3 linked regions of the Mus musculus genome follow. The protein of the gene in region 1 purifies or fractionates together with the protein of each later gene. This does not show direct contact. Links are inferred from orthologs where the notes say so. Each region holds a gene or a part of one and is shown on either strand. Other genes may lie near its edges. The genes, in order: Plk1, Topors and Satb2.

What was found.
Region 2: the proteins of Plk1 (region 1) and Topors purify together in Homo sapiens (affinity purification with western blotting; 3 studies listed by BioGRID). This does not show direct contact. The link is inferred for Mus musculus from reciprocal best matches to the Homo sapiens genes PLK1 and TOPORS.
Region 3: the proteins of Plk1 (region 1) and Satb2 purify together in Homo sapiens (affinity purification with mass spectrometry; 3 studies listed by BioGRID and IntAct, counting the BioPlex papers as one, with this or other methods). This does not show direct contact. The link is inferred for Mus musculus from reciprocal best matches to the Homo sapiens genes PLK1 and SATB2.

Annotation. Positions count from the first base shown.
Region 1 is NC_000073.6:122,158,298-122,162,043, reverse strand, and holds the start of Plk1 (serine/threonine-protein kinase PLK1), read right to left. Parts: upstream 2,610-3,746; 5' UTR 2,502-2,609; coding exon 2,094-2,501; intron 1,509-2,093; coding exon 1,340-1,508; intron 538-1,339; coding exon 393-537; intron 1-392. UniProt on the Homo sapiens protein: Serine/threonine-protein kinase that performs several important functions throughout M phase of the cell cycle, including the regulation of centrosome maturation and spindle assembly, the removal of cohesins from chromosome arms, the inactivation of anaphase-promoting complex/cyclosome (APC/C) inhibitors, and the regulation of mitotic exit and cytokinesis.
Region 2 is NC_000070.6:40,267,061-40,270,806, forward strand, and holds the start of Topors (E3 ubiquitin-protein ligase Topors), read right to left. Parts: upstream 2,782-3,746; 5' UTR 2,660-2,781; coding exon of another isoform or gene 2,617-2,659; coding exon 2,614-2,616; exon of another isoform or gene 2,519-2,613; intron 1,442-2,518; coding exon 1,244-1,441; intron 1-1,243. Other genes in the region: Smim27 (small integral membrane protein 27), read left to right, coding at 2,615-2,659, 2,978-3,082; Ndufb6 (NADH dehydrogenase [ubiquinone] 1 beta subcomplex subunit 6), read right to left, coding at 3,719-3,746. UniProt on the Homo sapiens protein: Functions as an E3 ubiquitin-protein ligase and as an E3 SUMO1-protein ligase. Probable tumor suppressor involved in cell growth, cell proliferation and apoptosis that regulates p53/TP53 stability through ubiquitin-dependent degradation.
Region 3 is NC_000067.6:56,849,208-56,852,853, forward strand, and holds part of Satb2 (DNA-binding protein SATB2), read right to left. Parts: intron 1,177-3,646; coding exon 964-1,176; intron 1-963. UniProt on the Homo sapiens protein: Binds to DNA, at nuclear matrix- or scaffold-associated regions. Thought to recognize the sugar-phosphate structure of double-stranded DNA.

The sequences.
Region 1 (3,746 bases):
TTCTCCCTTCAGCACTCAGCAGGACTTCCAATGCTCCATGGAAAGTCAGGCAGGGATTGTATTAAACCCAGGTTCAGATCTGAAATTCTGAATTCCTAACAAGCTCTCAGGTGTTGATGGTTTGGATCTGTGCATACTTTTAGTAAGCACCAAGGGCCAGGAGGAAAAGTTCAGGGACTTTTTGATCCCTTCCCTGGACCAACAAGTCAAGTTACAGGAATCCAACAGCCTACGCCAGACTGATATATGAAAAGCAGGGTTTCATGTGGGACAGCCTGTCCACTAAAACAGCCTTTCTATAAGGTAGAAAGATTCACATGGCAAAGTCAACTGGGTGAGAAGCCTCAGAAAGCCCTGCTGAGGCCCAGGAGCCAAGGCCATTGCCAACTTACATGATGCACCCAATGGACCACACATCCACCTCAAAACTGTGTCCCTTCTTGCTCAGCACCTCAGGAGCTATGTAGTTAGGAGTGCCACACAAGGTCTTCTTTCGTTCCCCTTCATATTCCACTTTGGTTGCCAAGCCAAAATCCCCTGGGACAGAGGAAAGAAGAGAGGGTGCTCAGCTGCTAAGCCCGGGCTGTCTGTGGTTGCAGGCAGCTCTGTTTTGATCCTGAGCATTGAGAACTAGTGGCTTGAGGCCCCAGAGTCCCTGAACCCTTCCACTGTACTGGCCCTAGCCAGCCTCCCACACACCTCTTTAGATAGCAGGGTTACGGTGGTTAAGGTGGCTCAGGAGGTAAAGGGGCTTGCTGCCAAGACTGATAACATGATCTACGTCGATCCTGGGACCCACACAGTGGAAAGAAAGAACTGACTCCTTGAAGTTAGCCTGTCTCCATTCATAAGTAAATGAAATTTAAAATGCACAGGATAGCAGAATTAGATGCACTGGGGAATCAAGTAGATGATCTTCGTGACTGCTGCTGGGCAAGTGTGTGGAGAAGTGACAGGGATCTAGGGACTGGCCAATCAGACTCAAGGGGGCAGGTTTTTCAGCTTAGTAAAGAGACACCTGAGGAGATGCTGCCTGCCATACTCTACAGCGTAAGTCCAGACCTGAAATTGGCTGAGGGTCTGGCTCAGTGCTAGGTTATAGAGAAGCATTTGGGGGAGGGGCCCCAAGTTCAAAACTACTGAGTTGAGGCATAAACACCAATGCATCTAAAAAAAAGGCAAGGAAAGTGTCACACACACACAAACACACACACACACACACACACACACACACACACTTTCCACTTCCTAACTAGAGGGCAGCATCTCTATTTCCTCACCTTCCCCTCCTTGTCCCCTCCTGCCCTGACACCAGACACCCGAAGGCCCAGCACCTCACCTATTTTCACCTCCAGATCCTCGTTCAGGAAGAGGTTGCCCAGCTTGAGGTCCCTGTGAATGACCTGATTGCGGTGCAGGTACTGGCAGCCCAGGACTATCTGTCGCAGGTAGTAGCGGGCCTCAGGCTCGGTCAGTGCCTTCCTCCTCTTGTGCAGCTCCAGGAGGGACTGAGGAGGGAGAAAGAGGTCACTGAAGTCCAAGAAGAGTGGCTAGCTGGATGTGGCTAGGACTAGACGCTCGGAGTGGAGAGTCTTAGCAGGTTTCTGATAGTTCTACCCATACACTGGTTGGTCACTATCATTCACCAGACCCTCTCCTGAGTCTTCTCTCAACCCCACTCTCGACTCCCCTACCCAGGGCTTCCTCCTGGCAGGAGATTCCCTCCCTTTCCTGAAAGCTCTAAAATCTGACTCCAAACAGCCGCCCCCTCCCCCGACCCTGCCCCACTCCGGAAGTTAGAGGTGCGTGGCACACCAAGCCTGGGACCCTTCCTTAGCCACTTTATGAATCCATTTCCTGTACCGACTCGCTGCCTTGCGTCTGGGAGCTCCATCCCTAATAGCAACAGGATCTGGTCTCGGTTTCCCCAGAACCCCGGCCTCAGCAGTTCGGAGTGCCAAGTACCCTCGCTAGAAGCCTTTCCATAAAAGTTTGAAACCCAACCACTCCTCTAGGTCACTCCAAAACCTCGGTGCCCCTTTGTCAGCAAGTTCCAGGTGTGGGAGCCCCAGCACTGCGACTGAAACACTCACCCTCCTGCGACAGAGCTCCAAAACTACAAATACAAAGTCGCTGTCCTCAAAAAAGTCATGGAAGCCTACGACGTGTTGGTGTGCTAGGCTGCGGTGAATTGAGATCTCCATAGACATCTTCTCCTTCTGGTGGGGCTTGAGCAGCAAAGACTTAGGCACGATCTTGCCTGCGAACACCTCTTTTGTGTCTGCGTCTGAGATCTCGAAGCATTTGGCGAAGCCTCCTTTACCCAGAAAGCGCCCCCGTACATACTGCCGCCGGCTGCGTGGGTCCACTAGGACCTCCGGAATTTCTTTCGCCAGCGGGGCGGCCACTGGGGCACCGGGAACTGCATCTCCCGGAACCCCACCTTTCCCGAGGTCGGCTGGTGCTCGAGCCAGCTTTCCAGCTTTGGCCGCTGCATTCATGATGCCGAAGTTGCTCCACGAACCTGGCTGAGTCGGTGCAGAGGGTCCTGCTCTGCTCCGCTCCTCCCCGAATTCAAACGCGGCGCTGGGAACGTTACAAGGGCCTGCGCGTTGCTGATTGGCCGCGGGGATTTAAAATACAAACCCGCCCAGCGCGCGGCACCATGGGAGTGCTCTACGGCGCAGCCGCCTTTAAACTCCGATCTTGCCGGCGAAATTTTTAATGGGCAGGGACTGGAGGACTGCGTTTGCTCAGGATTGCCTGGGAAACCAGGAACGAAGCAACTACGTGAAGATCCCTAGAAGAACAGGATTCTGTCCTGCTTTCTGCTCCTCGGCTGGGGCGTGCTCATGTGGTTCACCTGCGCCTCCTCCAGGGGCTTCTCCTAACTGTTAAGATCTAACACCTTCCTCCACCGGACCCGGCCTTCTAGAACTGAAACTCCAGGCCAACCGGTAGCTTGAGAGTGCACCGCCTCCGCGGTGGACAGCCCTCTCCCCGGCTAGCCTAAATAAACCCAAAACTGAGCAAGCTCAGCAGGCAGATGCACCTTCACGGCGCAACGGACCGATCTCCTCTGTGGCACTAGGGGCTCCCAGCCCCTGAGAAGTAACTCAACCCTTCTCTTGAACAACGCAGGAGGCCAGCAGCATCTGCAGCACCTGGAATTCCCTAAGAAGGCAAAGGAGGGGCGTGGGTTCAGGATTACAAGTTAGCCGAGATCAGCCTCAGCTACCGCTCCACTAACCCCAAAGGAAAGAAACTTCCCAGGCATGACCTGCCGGTCAAACAAGACCTTCAGATGATTCCTATGCCCTGTGATATGTAAGAAACACCGGACGTCTGCCCCGCGATGCAAGGTTACCTGGGTTGTTCCAAGTTGTGTGGCCCAGAGCCCCAAATAGAAAAAATTAATTTTTTAGTCAGAGGTGGGGGGGTAGCTGGTTAGAAGAGTGCTAGCATGCCGGTATACCAAGGCCAAGTCTGCCCTGCCGAAGTGTCCGTTCAGCCTTCACTTAGGAAAAAAAAAAAATGAGCCGGGGCGTAATGGCACACACCTTTAATCCCAGCACTGGGGAGGCAGGCGGATTTCTGAGTTCAAGGCCAGCCTGGTCTACAAAGTGAGTTCCAGGACAGCCAGAGCTATACAGAGAAACCCTGTCTCGAAAAAAAAAAAAAAATGGATTTACAACATGTAAAAAGAGTGGCCACACAGAGCAGGCGTGTGGCTTTTCATAGAAAAA
Region 2 (3,746 bases), on another chromosome or scaffold:
ATTTAACATATCTAAGCAAAGCAGCTAACAACATCCACAAATAGATAAAACAGAATGACTGGTAAAAAGCAATCTGCATTCTACTTGTAAATCTGAATAGTTTAAAATTTGTTAAGTCCTAAATGACCAAATTTAATTTCTTCTTTTTTTAGTGAGGCTAGACAGAGTTTCTCTGTGGAGCCCTGGCTGTCCTGGAACTCACTCTGTACACTAAGCTGGCCTTGAACTCAGAGCTCTGCCTGCCTCTGCCTCTGCTGGGATTAAAGGTATGCACCACCACTGTCCAGATTGAATTTCAATTCTGGTAATAATAAAATTTAATTGGGACCAGGCACCCTGGAATATTCCTGCATTCCCAGAAGACTGGAATATGAAGGCAAGACGGTGAGAAGACCAAGGTCATCCTTTGCAAAGTAGGGAACTCCAGACCACTCTTGGCTACAAAAGTCCCTGCCCCAAAATAAAAGGGGTGAGGGTTGCTTGGAAGCTAGCCCCGTGAAAGCCTCTCCTTCTAGATACGCATTGAGTGTGACTGACTGAAGAGCCCTGCACTTTGCATTCCATCTATTTCCAAACCCTCAAATCCTCTCAAACGAAACACTCTACCCTGTACTAGCTCAACTCTTAAGACACATACGTTTTTTCCTTCTTTCTCCACTTTAACATAGGACGGTGCCCAGTAGAACTGCTGCTTCCCAGTTCCGGTCTTAATCTCCGTGCCTTCAATCCCGTAACTGCCCCTCTCCAGTCTACCAATCAGAATCAGCAGCCCATGAGCAAAGGGCACTAACTAGATGTGTAATAAAGTCACAAGGCATACAAGCCCTGCCCACAATGTGTAGCACTGCACAACTCCTCTAGCCTTAACAGCTTCCTTAGTCCAAAACTACTGTCTCGGATGGAAAGACAACCACACCATGCATGTTACATAAACACGACCAACTGAAATGCTGATCCCATTTCACAGACAGGGTCCAGGGCTGGGGACCTACCAAGGTCACACTTCCTAACAGTGGCAACTGTTTTGCGCCGACACACAGCTCTATCCCGTATTCAGTTGCGCTCCAGCCCTTCAGGCAGTGCAGGGAGACACTCCCCTCGCTTGCCCACCGGTGCCGATCCACAGGTGCCCTGCAGCGTGGCGACCCCAGCCCTTGGGAGCTCCGGGTGGAAGAAGGCCCAGACCACAGGGCTGCTCCAGGGCCTACTGGAACCCCTCACCCATTGTTCCCGGCCGACTCACCTCCGAGGACGCGGTGGCAGGAACCGCTGGGCCGTTGGAAGCCAGCTCCCGCCGGCTCAGTAAGCTCGGCCGGTGGCGGCAGGATCCGCGAAGGCGTACCCGGCGGCTTCGGCGCCTCCCCTCCTCGGCAGGCACCAGAGGGGGCGCTTCACCCTCCTCGCGAGACAGCGGAGACCCCGGTGGCGGCGGCTGCGACCCCTATGACGTAGAACGTTCATCACCCACAGGCAGTTTGGAGGCGGAGAGAAGGCGAGACCAACCCCCCGAGCCCGCGCAGCAAAACACCGCTCCTCCACCCCCTTCCCCCGAGCTCTGGGCGCATGCGCCAAACCGCTGCCGCACGCAGGAGGCGGGACGTTACGGCACAGACCCCGGACCCTGCCCTGCCCCCACCGCGGGGGGGCACAGCACAAACTCCACAATCACAACCAAATATGCAGAAAGGCTGCCTCAGTATCAGTGGAACCTCACAAACTTCAACAAGTTGTTAGGATTCTCTATGGTGCCACGGGAACTGGACTGAGCTCCCAGAGCACCCTGGTCCTTCCGTCTATTTCAGCTGGGTTGACCATCAGGCATTTCTTTTACCCCGCCATAACTCCCTGCGGCCCGCTTCCCTCTTTCCACTCTCGGAAATCTACACTAAAAATGTATCTGACACATCTGCGCCCAAAGCCGAGCGGCCCAGCCTCTGCCGGCCAGGCTTCCACTCTGCACACCACCAGCATCCTGATAGTTGGCCTGCCAAGCTGCCTTTCTCGGGACTTAGTATTTCAAACTTGCTGCAGTCCCAAGCATTCGACAAACTGCCCGTCAACACTTGTTGGCCGGCAGATCCACCATGCGGGCTACCTGTACAACATATTTGAAAAGATTTCCAGCCATCAGCGATAATATTCTGTTTGTTCTTGGTGAACGGCTCAACTAACAGTTCCCAACGATGTTTTTGTTACGTAAAAGATGTTTAAGTCAAGCATAAACATATGAAGGTCTATCCGCATTTGGTGGAAACCGATGTGGGTGTGGGACGGCAACTTTGATTCTTCCACCGTGGACTATTTTCCAATAAACTTTTATATGCACACGATGGCACACTATCTTGTATTAATACCGCACTGCAAATGCAGGATAAAGCAGTTAAGGAATTCCTATGTGAGCGCAAAAAAGGCGCGATCTTCACATTTTCTCTTTTATTCCCTCTGCTGCCTGAAAGGCGGGCTAGGCCCGGATCACGTGATGTGTTCCAACTCCGGGCGGAAGCCCGCGGGAGCGCGCAGAGTCCCGCTGAAAAATGGCTGCTGCATCGGGGTGCAATGCGCCCGCGAGCAGGCTGTAGGGCCCTTGCCACCCCGTCCCCGCTGCTCCCTTACCATGAGGCCGATGAGTCGCCGAAGCCTGGACTGGACTTACTCCCTGGTAGGTACCGAGCAGAGCGGAGCTCCAGAGCGCACCATGGCAGGGCCCGCGAGCCGAAGGTAGACTGTTGGCTCGCAGCTTGGAACTCCAGAACCCATTCCTAAATTGAGCGTTCACGCCCTGCCCTCGGCTCCGCCTCTTCCTGGAGGACACGCTTTTCCGCCTCTGACGTCAGGGGTTGCAGGCCTGCTTGCCTCTGGGCTGCACTGTGTTAGAGGCATGTGATGCCTTTCCACCTGTAGCTGCTTGCTCGGGCTACACAGGGAAAGGACCCGGCACATTGATTTCTTCTTTTTGCTTTTCCTCCCCTCCTTTTAGTTGCTCCTTGCAATCGTCTTGCTCTCTTGGGGATTCGTCATCTATGCATCGACTGTAGCTGCACGACGACAACTACAGAAGGAGTTTCCAGACAAGTTCTTCTGAACGAACTTTTGTAATTCTTAGCAAACACTTCTTTTCTTCAGATGGCACCTATGTAGACTCAAAGTAAAATTCACAATACAAATTTGCGTGTGGCCTTTTGTGATAAGCGTTAACATGCCAATTTTTCAAAATGATCGGACAACACCCCCCCCCCCCTTTTTTTTTTTTCGAGACAGGGTTTCTCTGTATAGCCCTGGCTGTCCTGGAACTCACTTTGTAGACCAGGCTGACCTTGAACTCAGAAATCCGCCTGCCTCTGCCTCCCGAGTGCTGGGAGTAAAGGCGTGCGCCCCCACGCCCGGCTCTATTTTGTATCAGGTCATAGCTTTTCATTCTAGTGCTCAAACACTTCACATCCTCATGTCAAATCAGTATGTAAACAACACTGTGACTAAAATGTGTTTTGCATCCTGTTTATCAAAATGGACAGAAAAAAGTAGCTAATAGCTCTGTTTAGTATTTGTCTTTTTACTGTTAGTCTCAAATCATAGAACCTTTGGACAGTAACACGGACAGTGATAACACTCTGAGAATAAGCTTTATTAATTACTTTTCCAGGAAACAGATTCAGTAAATACAGCACTTTAGGAACATACTTGTGCTGTTACACAAGTCTGTTAAGTTTTTAAGGACTCTTCAATGATGTTGATCAGGAAAATCTCTC
Region 3 (3,646 bases), on another chromosome or scaffold:
GCTCCCTGTCACCAGGACCCTTTGCTCTGGCCTAGCTACTGCACCCACACACACAGAACTTTTCCACTGTGTTTCTCTAAAGAAAGAAAGAAAGAGAGATGGAGAGAGAGAGAGAGAGAGGGAGAGAGAGAGAGAGAGAGAGAGAGAGAGAGAGAGGGAGAGAGAGAGGAAAGGAAAGGAAAGGAAAGGGAAAAGGGAAAAGGGAAAGGGAAAAGGGAAAAGGGAAAAGGGAAAAGGGAAAAGGGAAAAGGGGAAAGGGGAAAGGGGAAAGGGGAAAGGGGAAAGGGAAAAGGGGAAAGGGGAAAGGGAAAAGGGAAAAAAGGGAAAAGGGAAAAGGAAAAGGGAAAAGGGAAAAGGGAAAAGGAAAAGGGAAAAGGGAAAAGGGAAAAGGGAAAAGGGAAAAGGGAAAAGGGAAAGGGAAAGGGAAATTTTTTTATTGTATTGTTACTGGGGGTCTGGGTGGCATAGGTACACATGAGTGCAGGATCCCCCTGGAGGTGGAATTACAAACAAAGATGATAATCCATCTTAACCGCAGAGCCATCTCTCCTGCCTTCCATTTTATCTTTCTGAATTGCTCACAGCAGCATCTGAACTGCTGTTTCTTGCCCTCAACCACATTCCACCCCCAGAAAAATAAACAAGCAATGTAAGGAAAATAAAGTAGCTCTTATACAAACACAACCCCCACAGGAACCCCACTTCTTCTTCTTCTTCTGAAACTGTAAAAAAGACAGGAACTCACCTCCTACTCTTGCCCTGTCCCCTCACCTGCTTATGTGGAAGAATGGGGTTATCCTAAAGAGAAGGGAATAACACACCTCCACAGCACAGGGTTACCTCATGATATAGCCAGAGGTTATATCCTTTGACCTGTTCAATGATGTTTCTTGGTTTTCAAGGAAAAACACAATGTCCATGAAGCACGAGTGAAGTATGTGAAGTGTGGAGCAGACAGCTCACCTGTGGGGTTCGGGAGGAGCTGGGACTGCTAGAGGCAGAGGAGACCATGCTCACATTGGGGTTCATGCTCCTCTCTCGCTCATCCTGGTAAATGCGATCACGCTCCACTTCAGGCAGGTTGAGGAAGTTCTGCATGGCCCTCAGGTTTACTAGAAGAGACTGAGACGCAGTCCTGGGATCTTCTTCCTTACGCAGTATCTCTGACAATAATCCCTGGTAGAGTGGGGAAAAAATAGGCAAAGTCATGTCTACGGATTTACGGGTATGGTTTCCGTCTCCCTTGCCAACTGCCCCTCTACTTGTTTGGCATAACCAGCTTGAGAGAATATCAGGAACATGCCTAATTCCTTAGGGAGGAGTCTGTATGAATGTGTTCCCTTTCCGGGGCTGTGCCTTATTTTAGGACTTCTATTCTGCCACCTCATCATCGCTGTAATAATCCTATGTGCGCCAATGCCAGCGAGCAAGGTAGGCGCTCAGGAGGAAATATGGAGCTGCAATTAACCACCAGGTGCCTCCAGCAAGTATTTCAGGAGCTGTTAGAACTCTCTCTGCTTGAAACTGGGAACTCTTGGCAGTCCTGCTTAGCTTTACGAATCTGCCAAGTTTGGTAAATTTAGTTCCGACATTTAAACAGCATGGGAGATTTACATCGATTTTAAAAAAATAATAAAAGTTTGGCTGAATTTCTGTATGACCGGACACTGGTTTCAATATAGATGTTTCCTAAGGTAAAGGGAGGTGGCGAATAGAAAGCACACATAACCTGTCAACTCTGATAACTTCCCAGCCTTCACGCATAGCAGCTATGCTTTCATAGGTACCATGAGGCACCCCAGACTTTTGTGGGGTACCACATGGGAAACTCTAATGTCAAGTGATGAAAATGTGGTTACATTAGCTAGGGACCGGGGCATGTGCTAACTGTAGTGCTGATAGGCTCTGATGTCTTGATCGACTTGATGTTTTCTGAGTTTGTGACTCAACTCAATATGGGGGTTTTAAAAGCAGGGTTTTTGTGTACTCTAGTGACACAGAATTCACAAAGATTTTGTCGATACTCTACAGCAGCATGGCCTAAGAGGAGAGTAGGAGATGAGCTAGAGAAATGGCTCTTAACATACAGGCTTTGACCCTGATAGAGCAGAATAACCCTTTCACAGGGGTTGCCTACCAGGTATCCTGCAGGTGAGATATTTACATCACAACTTAGAACAGGTGCAAAATTACAGTAATGAAGTAGCAACAAAAATAATTTTATGGATGGGGTGCCACAACATGAGCAACTATTAAAGGGTTGAGCCATTAGGAAAGTTGAGAACCACTGAGCTAGAGAGATACTAAGACAGAGGCAGATCCATTACTGTCGCATGCACTTGTTGGGTTATCACACAGAAGCATCATTTCATATTCTCATTCTTATTTTATCCTTTTGCAGGGCACTAACTTTTACAACTGTTTCTCCAAGAAGAGCTAAGATGCTAATCCTGTACTTTGATCACACAAAAAGTCACTTCTATAGACTGTGGTAAAGCTCTGCACGTGCCAACGATGCTTTGCACTGAGGGAAATTAATATAAGTGCAGGAGATGCAGCTCACATATAAAACAGCAGTGGCTGTAAGGAGAATTATCCTCTGGCTGGACAGAAGTCTGCAGGGTATAGTGGGCATTTTCATACAAATTACTATATTGTGCCGTAGTATGGCAAATACCATTTATAGGGAGGCATGTCACACAGTTGCCAACAATCAAGGAAGTATAGTCATCATTCAGGGATAAAATATACCACACAGGGACTGGAAAGGTGGCTCAGTGGGTAAAAGCACTTGCCTGATGACCTTGGTTTGATTCTTGGGGCTTACATGGTAGGTGAAGAGAACTGACTCCTGCAACCATGTGCACATGCATGCACATGCATGGGTGTGCACACAACATACCATACACATACAGAGAGATACATAAATAAACCTAGTTTTTAAAATCATACAAAACAACTCTACTGCAAGGAAGCTACCGACAGTGTGCCATCTGCTAGCTCTGAACGTAGAGGTCACATTACTGTGATTAGAGGAATCCTAATACCTGGGTAAGTGCCTACACAAACATAGCTAGGAAGCACATGGTGTTGGCTTGAGGTCAGAATGTGAATAGGGATAAAATATACCACATAATGAAGCTAGAAGAAATGTGTGTGTGTGAGAGAGAGAGAGAGAAAGTGTGTGTGTGTGTGTGTGTGTGTGTGTATGTAAGGTATGTATGTGTGGCGGAGGAGGGGGCTGTGTGCTAGTTAGTATGTGGGCATGCACATATGTGCTCAAGGAAAGAGCAAGGTAGGTGGTATGTGTAAAAATATCCTACTGCTGAAATGATTAAAGGAAAATCCAGATCTCACGGCATGCTTTTAGGAGCAACAAGTGAGGCACTTGTCTTCCTGGAAAGTGTGCATTCCATGAATCGATTCTCCCGAAATTAAGAGTCACTTGTGCCTTGGGTCACCCTGCTTCCCATTTTAACTGAGCAACCTGAAATGTTCATAATGGATTTGCTTCAAAGATTTTTTTTTAAACATCTCTAAATTAATATGAAGAAAGGAAGTGGATTTTAAATTGCTCCCACTTTCCAAGGTCAGTAAGACAGTAAGATTGATACTCCTCTGCGCTTTCTCTCATAATGAGCCATGC